Linked DNA regions of Saccharomyces cerevisiae S288C. The protein of the gene in region 2 binds, or shares a complex with, the protein of the main gene of each other region. Each region holds a gene or a part of one and is shown on either strand. Other genes may lie near its edges. A codon is read from its position in the direction of its gene.

The links.
Region 1: the proteins of NHA1 (region 2) and BMH1 are in contact, whole or in part, in a crystal structure (PDB 6QK8), measured with the Saccharomyces cerevisiae proteins. Residues at the interface, in NP_013239.1 of Saccharomyces cerevisiae: Arg478 (codon at 3,416), Ser479 (codon at 3,419), Phe480 (codon at 3,422), Ser481 (codon at 3,425), Leu482 (codon at 3,428), His483 (codon at 3,431), Arg484 (codon at 3,434), Met485 (codon at 3,437); in NP_011104.3 of Saccharomyces cerevisiae: Glu16 (codon at 1,622), Tyr21 (codon at 1,637), Val48 (codon at 1,718), Lys51 (codon at 1,727), Arg58 (codon at 1,748), Lys125 (codon at 1,949), Arg132 (codon at 1,970), Tyr133 (codon at 1,973), Gly174 (codon at 2,096), Leu177 (codon at 2,105), Asn178 (codon at 2,108), Val181 (codon at 2,117), Tyr184 (codon at 2,126), Asp218 (codon at 2,228), Leu221 (codon at 2,237), Ile222 (codon at 2,240), Leu225 (codon at 2,249), Asn229 (codon at 2,261), Leu232 (codon at 2,270), Trp233 (codon at 2,273).

Annotation. Positions count from the first base shown.
Region 1 is NC_001137.3:544,035-546,914, forward strand, and holds BMH1 (14-3-3 family protein BMH1), read left to right. Parts: upstream 1-1,576; coding exon 1,577-2,380; downstream 2,381-2,880. Other genes in the region: ECM32 (RNA helicase), read left to right, coding at 1-1,021; PDA1 (pyruvate dehydrogenase (acetyl-transferring) subunit E1 alpha), read left to right, coding at 2,783-2,880. UniProt on the Saccharomyces cerevisiae protein: Involved in growth regulation.
Region 2 is NC_001144.5:416,453-421,929, forward strand, and holds NHA1 (Nha1p), read left to right. Parts: upstream 1-1,984; coding exon 1,985-4,942; downstream 4,943-5,477. Other genes in the region: TIS11 (Tis11p), read right to left, coding at 1-206; RKM5 (S-adenosylmethionine-dependent methyltransferase), read left to right, coding at 554-1,657; SLS1 (Sls1p), read right to left, coding at 5,090-5,477. UniProt on the Saccharomyces cerevisiae protein: Sodium export from cell, takes up external protons in exchange for internal sodium ions. Also capable of exporting potassium ions.

The DNA.
Region 1 (2,880 bases), on a different chromosome or scaffold from region 2:
AAACCGTGTCACCAACAAGGTCGTATCTCAATCGCAAATAATTTTCACGACAAACATTGCTGCAGGTGGTCGTGAATTGAAGGTTATAAAAGAATGTCCCGTGGTAATAATGGATGAGGCTACACAATCATCAGAGGCTTCAACACTAGTCCCACTTTCGTTACCAGGTATAAGAAATTTTGTCTTCGTTGGGGACGAAAAGCAATTGTCAAGTTTCAGCAACATCCCTCAACTGGAAACCTCACTATTCGAAAGAGTCCTATCTAATGGCACGTACAAAAACCCACTAATGCTGGATACGCAGTACAGAATGCACCCAAAAATTAGCGAATTCCCCATTAAGAAAATATACAATGGTGAATTGAAGGACGGTGTCACGGACGAACAAAAGGCATGGCCTGGCGTGCAGCATCCGTTGTTTTTTTATCAGTGCGATTTGGGGCCCGAGAGCAGAGTGAGAAGCACGCAAAGAGACATAGTCGGGTTTACGTACGAAAACAAACACGAATGTGTAGAAATCGTGAAGATTATCCAAATACTAATGTTGGACAAGAAGGTTCCGCTGGAAGAAATTGGTGTCATAACGCCCTATTCTGCACAGCGTGATCTGCTGTCTGACATCTTGACCAAAAACGTAGTTATCAACCCCAAACAGATTTCTATGCAACAAGAATACGATGAAATTGAGCTATTTAACGCGGCTGGTTCTCAAGGAACCGCCGGCAGTCTACAAAACAATGTGATTAACATCATCAACGGCCTACACGTCGCGACCGTAGACTCCTTTCAAGGCCACGAAAAATCTTTCATCATATTTTCATGTGTCAGAAATAACACCGAAAACAAAATCGGCTTTTTACGTGACAAAAGAAGGTTAAACGTGGCATTGACAAGAGCCAAGCACGGACTAATTGTGGTGGGCAACAAGAATGTCTTAAGAAAAGGAGACCCCCTATGGAAAGACTACATTACCTACCTCGAGGAACAAGAGGTCATATTCACTGATCTCACAGCTTACTAGCCGGCTAGGCGGCGGCAAGAAAATCCACTGTTTATGTATTGATTGCGCAATGCAGAGATAGATAGATATAGATAGATAATGGACGTAGTTATAGAACAGAAAATCGGTAGATCGAAAACACAGGGGAAAAAGGGGGGGGGGGGGGGGAGACAGCGCAGCCACGTGACGGGCTTCCTCTTTGGAAAGTGGAGCGAAGTTTTGCGGAAGCTACTTTATTCCGGCCTGGAGTCAAAAGAGGAAGCTCGGTGGCAAATAGCTTCCTCTTTGTGGCCGGGGCGCGGGGGGACGAGGCAAAAAGCAAAGAAAAGCAAAAAAAATAAAAAAAAAAACAAAAAAACAGGGGTATGAGAAAAAGACACGCTTTTCCACGCGCAGCAAAAAGGAAAAAGGAAAAGGAAACTCTTTATTATTGGACCTTAAACCTGAAAACGAGACGAACCGTAACATAAAACCGTGTAGTTTCTGCAAAAATAACTTAGTTTTTCCTACTTTTCAAAATTGAGAGCGCAAGCAAGTGAGAAGAAAAAGCAAGTTAAAGATAAACTAAAGATAAAAATGTCAACCAGTCGTGAAGATTCTGTGTACCTAGCCAAGTTGGCTGAACAGGCCGAACGTTATGAAGAAATGGTCGAAAACATGAAGACTGTTGCCTCCTCTGGCCAAGAGTTGTCGGTCGAAGAGCGTAATTTGTTGTCTGTTGCTTATAAGAACGTTATTGGTGCTCGTCGTGCCTCTTGGAGAATTGTTTCTTCTATTGAGCAAAAGGAGGAGTCCAAGGAGAAGTCCGAACACCAGGTCGAGTTGATTTGTTCGTACCGTTCGAAGATTGAGACCGAACTAACTAAGATCTCCGACGATATTTTGTCCGTGCTAGACTCCCACTTAATTCCATCAGCCACCACTGGCGAGTCCAAGGTTTTCTACTATAAGATGAAGGGTGACTACCACCGTTATTTGGCTGAATTTTCTAGTGGCGATGCTAGAGAAAAGGCCACAAACGCCTCTTTAGAAGCATACAAGACCGCTTCTGAAATTGCCACCACAGAGTTACCCCCAACTCACCCAATCCGTCTAGGTTTGGCTCTTAACTTCTCTGTCTTCTATTATGAAATTCAAAACTCTCCAGACAAAGCCTGCCATTTGGCCAAGCAAGCTTTTGACGACGCTATTGCTGAGTTGGACACTCTGTCTGAAGAATCATACAAAGATAGCACACTTATCATGCAACTGCTAAGGGACAATTTAACCTTATGGACTTCAGACATGTCCGAGTCCGGTCAAGCTGAAGACCAACAACAACAACAACAACATCAGCAACAGCAGCCACCTGCTGCCGCCGAAGGTGAAGCACCAAAGTAAGTATTCTGATAAATCTAAAGAGAAATTACTAAAAAAAAGAAAAAAAAAAGAACGGGGGTGTAATAATTTGTAGTTCATTATTGCAATTATATATCTATATCTATATATGTATATAACATTAACATGTGCATGTACACACGTAATCGCGCGTGTACATGTCTATATGTGTTACTTGAACTATACTGTTTTGACGTGTATGTTTATTTATCTCTCTTCTGATTCCTCCACCCCTTCCTTACTCAACCGGGTAAATGTCGCATCATGACTCCCGACAATAATCCCCTCTGGTATAGCGAGAAGCAACTTTAGCTTCTTAACGGCAAGAACTTTTTTATGTTTGTCGCACCTGTATCTTCACAAAAGTTGGATACAGCAATAAGAAAGGAAACCACATTTGTGCCAATGCTTGCTGCTTCATTCAAACGCCAACCATCACAATTGGTCCGCGGGTTAGGAGCTGTTCTTCGCACTCCCACCAGGATAGGTCATGTTCGTACCAT
Region 2 (5,477 bases):
AATGAAACTGCCGAAGATATTTCACTGCTTGTTTCCTGTATGTTATCCTCGTTTAAAATCGTCTTGTTGTAATACTCCTCCAGTTCCCTAATATTGATCTGGTACTGGTAGTCATTTAATGGATTTTGCTCTTGATCTGTGGAAAACAACGACGTTAAGTCAGTCTTCTGAGATTCTGGTCTAGTATATGATAATTGAGCCCACATATTGCGTTATTTTTTACGTATTGAGTTTGCAGCACTGTTTCGCTTTCTCTCAAGATGCACAAATACGACCTACCAAGAGCCTCCAAGTCCCACCAACGATTATGTCTTCTCTCAAATATATATACAAGTTACATGTAGAGAAATCGAGACGAGATTGCTGGCACAATGCACCCAACTGCATGTGCCATTGTGCATCTACACCTCCAAATTAGGGTGTCGATTGGCGTCGTCTTCTTTAATGTGGGTGCATTTTGCGGCGGCGCGACAAATATAGAGAACTGACCAAGGCAGTGCTGTCAAGAAGAGAGAATGGTTACGGCAGCGAAGACGCAAATGGGCTAGGCAGAATGGCATTCAAGTTATGGCTACTGGATGAGGAAACAATATACGAGCACGTGTTCGAACGGTACACACAATTGGAGGGCCAGTCCGGGAAACTGGCGCAGGATTTGGGTATTCAGGATAGAAGGGGCGGTGTGCTAGAGATAACGTTTGAACCCTCTGGGCTGGAAGGCGGCAGAAAAAAAAAGCGAGTGAGAAGAAGAAATAAGGCTAGTAGTGTTGAAGAAGATCAGAATGTTGCTGTGGATAGCTATCATGTTAGCGTGGGGCAGTCCATATCAAGCTTGCGCTCGTCCAGAGACAACGGAAACTCCACCACAGGATACGTTTTGTGGTCTACCACACCTTTCTTCATCAACTGGCTGCTGTATAGTACTAGCGCTGCACCTTTCCGTCTTGGGAGTCAGGTGGAAGTAACCTGCGGGTCTTCTTGCGAGGGGCACAAGCTTGAGTTGCCCAGGCTGGTCGACCTCACGGGCGCTGATCGCGGCAAGAGAGGTATCTTGGAACTTGGAGCAGGAATATCAGGTATTTTGCCCGTGATTCTTGGTAACTTCGTCGACACCTACGTGTCGACAGATCAGAAGGGCATTCTTAATAAATTAAAAGATAACATCATGGAAAACTTATCACAGTTGACCAGAAAGCGGTGCATTTCCCGATCACTAAGATTGGAACTTCCCACCGTCGAACCAGTTGGCGACGCTGATATCACCGCAGCGTCACTTCCATCTAAGTCTACGTTGCATTTGGAAGTAGCCGCTCTAGACTGGGAGAAGATAAACTTGCAAGACAAAAAGACCCACTCTCTGCATCCTGAGTTGTCACTCATAGGTGAAACATGTTCTTCCGTGTACGTTATAGCTATGGATGTCATATACAACGAGTACCTGATAGATCCGTTTCTGAAGACGCTCAAGCAACTCAAACACTGGTTACAAACTACCTACAATTTGCAATTCCATGTCCTCGTGGGGATACACTTGCGGTCACAAGAGGTGACAACACTGTTCTTGGAGAAAGCCATCATAGAATATGACTTCACGGTTTATGATATCGTTGACCAGGTCATACAAGAGTCCCGTTTTAACTTTTATCTTATCACCTAGTCCCATATATAATAATAGAAACAATATAATGCTGATAATCTTATTTTTCTTTGCGATGCGGCAGTGCCTCTTCCCCTCCGTACGGATTGGGAAGATTTTCATTTTTGATTAGCAAGGGCACTAAGCCAACTCTGTGTGATATAGCTAATAATCTAAAAGCTGCTGGATCCGTTATCGTCAAGATAAAGCGGACTTAGCGATTTACATAGGATCACACTTTCTACACACATTTGATTTTTAAGCTTCATTTTCCACTGCACTTATTTTTCCCAAGCATCGTGTTTTTTTGTACATTATAAAAAAAAATCCTGAACTTAGCTAGATATTATGGCTATCTGGGAGCAACTAGAAGTCTCAAAGGCGCACGTTGCTTATGCATGTGTTGGTGTCTTTTCATCTATCTTCTCTTTAGTGTCACTTTATGTCAAGGAGAAGCTTTATATTGGTGAGTCCACCGTAGCAGGTATATTTGGGCTAATTGTGGGTCCTGTTTGCTTGAACTGGTTTAATCCTCTGAAATGGGGGAATTCAGACAGTATAACATTAGAGATAACGAGAATAGTATTATGTTTGCAAATTTTTGCCGTTGCCGTGGAACTGCCACGGAAATATATGTTGAAGCATTGGGTATCTGTGACGATGCTATTATTGCCAGTGATGACAGCTGGATGGCTTATTATTGGTCTCTTCGTTTGGATTCTTATACCTGGCTTGAATTTTTCTGCTAGTTTGTTGATATCTGCGTGCATTACCGCAACAGATCCTATTCTGGCGCAGTCGGTCGTCTCCGGTAAGTTTGCCCAAAGAGTACCTGGTCACTTAAGAAATCTACTGTCTGCAGAGTCAGGCTGCAATGATGGTATGGCCTTTCCTTTTTTATTTCTTTCTATGAATTTAATCCTACATCCCGGTAATGGAAGAGAAATTGTCAAAGATTGGATTTGCGTTACTATCCTGTATGAGTGTTTGTTTGGATGCTTGCTAGGTTGCTTCATTGGTTATGTAGGCAGAATCACCATCAGGTTTGCCGAAAAGAAAAACATTATCGATCGTGAGTCGTTCTTAGCATTTTACGTTGTCCTGGCGTTCATGTGTGCTGGGTTCGGCTCCATTTTGGGTGTGGATGACCTATTGGTATCATTTGCAGCCGGTGCGACTTTCGCTTGGGATGGGTGGTTTTCTCAAAAGACACAAGAAAGTAATGTTTCTACCGTGATTGATTTGCTACTAAACTATGCGTATTTTATCTATTTTGGTGCCATTATACCTTGGAGTCAATTCAACAACGGTGAAATTGGCACAAACGTCTGGCGTTTAATTATACTTTCGATAGTGGTCATCTTTTTACGTAGGATCCCTGCAGTCATGATATTAAGACCTCTTATACCTGATATAAAATCGTGGCGTGAGGCACTTTTTGTGGGCCATTTTGGTCCTATTGGTGTAGGTGCAATTTTTGCCGCTATACTAGCTCGTGGAGAATTAGAGTCTACCTTTAGTGACGAACCCACTCCTTTAAATGTTGTACCATCAAAAGAGGAAAGTAAACATTGGCAGCTGATAGCCTGTATATGGCCAATAACTTGTTTTTTCATTGTTACTTCTATCATAGTTCATGGTTCTTCAGTTGCAATCATAACTCTAGGTCGTCATTTGAACACGATAACGTTAACCAAAACATTCACTACACACACCACCAATGGTGATAATGGGAAAAGTTCATGGATGCAAAGGTTGCCATCGTTGGATAAAGCTGGACGATCATTTTCATTGCATCGTATGGATACTCAAATGACTTTATCAGGGGATGAAGGTGAAGCAGAAGAAGGAGGAGGTCGTAAGGGACTAGCAGGAGGTGAAGATGAAGAAGGATTAAACAATGATCAAATTGGTAGCGTCGCAACGAGCGGAATTCCTGCAAGACCCGCTGGTGGTATGCCAAGGAGGAGGAAATTGTCAAGAAAAGAGAAAAGATTGAACAGAAGACAGAAACTGAGAAACAAAGGTAGAGAAATATTTTCATCAAGATCTAAAAATGAAATGTATGATGACGATGAGTTGAATGATCTGGGACGAGAAAGGTTGCAAAAAGAAAAGGAAGCACGCGCCGCCACATTTGCATTGAGCACAGCCGTCAATACACAACGTAATGAGGAGATTGGAATGGGTGGAGATGAAGAAGAAGATGAGTACACACCGGAAAAGGAATATAGCGATAATTACAATAACACACCAAGTTTTGAGTCGTCTGAAAGATCTTCATCTCTCCGAGGAAGAACTTACGTACCAAGAAACCGTTACGATGGAGAAGAGACAGAAAGCGAGATTGAAAGCGAAGACGAGATGGAAAATGAAAGTGAAAGATCAATGGCCAGTAGTGAAGAGAGGAGAATTCGAAAAATGAAAGAGGAAGAAATGAAACCTGGTACTGCTTATTTAGATGGTAATAGAATGATTATTGAAAATAAGCAAGGTGAAATCTTGAATCAAGTAGATATCGAGGATCGCAATGAGGCGAGAGATGACGAAGTTAGTGTTGATAGTACAGCCCATTCAAGTTTAACTACCACAATGACCAATCTATCCAGTAGTAGTGGGGGAAGGTTAAAGAGAATTTTAACTCCCACATCTTTAGGAAAGATACATTCATTGGTTGATAAAGGAAAGGATAAAAATAAAAACAGCAAGTATCATGCATTTAAAATAGACAATCTGTTAATCATCGAGAATGAGGACGGTGATGTTATAAAAAGATACAAGATAAATCCTCATAAATCTGATGATGATAAAAGTAAAAACCGCCCAAGAAACGATAGTGTTGTATCAAGAGCTTTAACAGCAGTAGGACTAAAGAGCAAAGCGAACAGCGGCGTACCGCCTCCAGTAGATGAAGAAAAAGCCATCGAAGGACCCTCCAGGAAGGGCCCAGGGATGTTAAAGAAAAGGACATTAACACCTGCGCCACCGAGAGGAGTTCAAGATTCCTTAGATCTGGAAGATGAACCTTCATCTGAGGAGGATTTAGGTGATAGTTATAACATGGACGATAGTGAAGATTACGACGATAATGCATATGAATCAGAAACTGAATTCGAAAGACAAAGAAGGTTAAATGCGTTAGGTGAGATGACGGCACCAGCGGATCAAGATGACGAAGAGTTGCCGCCCTTACCTGTGGAGGCACAAACAGGAAACGATGGTCCAGGTACAGCGGAAGGAAAAAAAAAGCAAAAGAGTGCTGCTGTTAAGTCGGCGCTATCAAAAACGCTTGGTCTCAATAAGTAATTTATTAATACACAAAGATATATTATTTTAGTATATATATAAACGAAATGCCTTTTTTATTTACATGTGTCGGAAATAGAGTAGATGCGGTAAAGAGGGGGAGGGGGGGGGGGTATGCGGTTTTGTCATTACTCTTTTCCGTTAAACTTAAAAGCTTAAAACATCATTGATAAAGGTTTTTAGTGAGGTTTCACTGGGGTTCACATTGATGAAATCTAATTGTCTGTAGGAGCCATTGTTCAAAAATCCGCGGCTGATATCTGAATATTGAATGATGTATTTATCATCTTGGGCAGTGTTCGTAGGAAATCGTAAATTCAAGACACGATGGGTCAAAACATCAGTCAATTGGTATTGCTGTATTAGGTTATCTGGTAAAGAAATGTTGATTTTTTTCATAAGATTCTGATATTTGTTTAACTTCCAGTGTGACTTGAGAAGAAATTCTTGGAGGCCTTTTTGTTCAGATAACCAAGCATCCGGATTGGTCTGGTCGAAATCAGGTAAAAGATCTTGAATGTAATCTGACGTGATC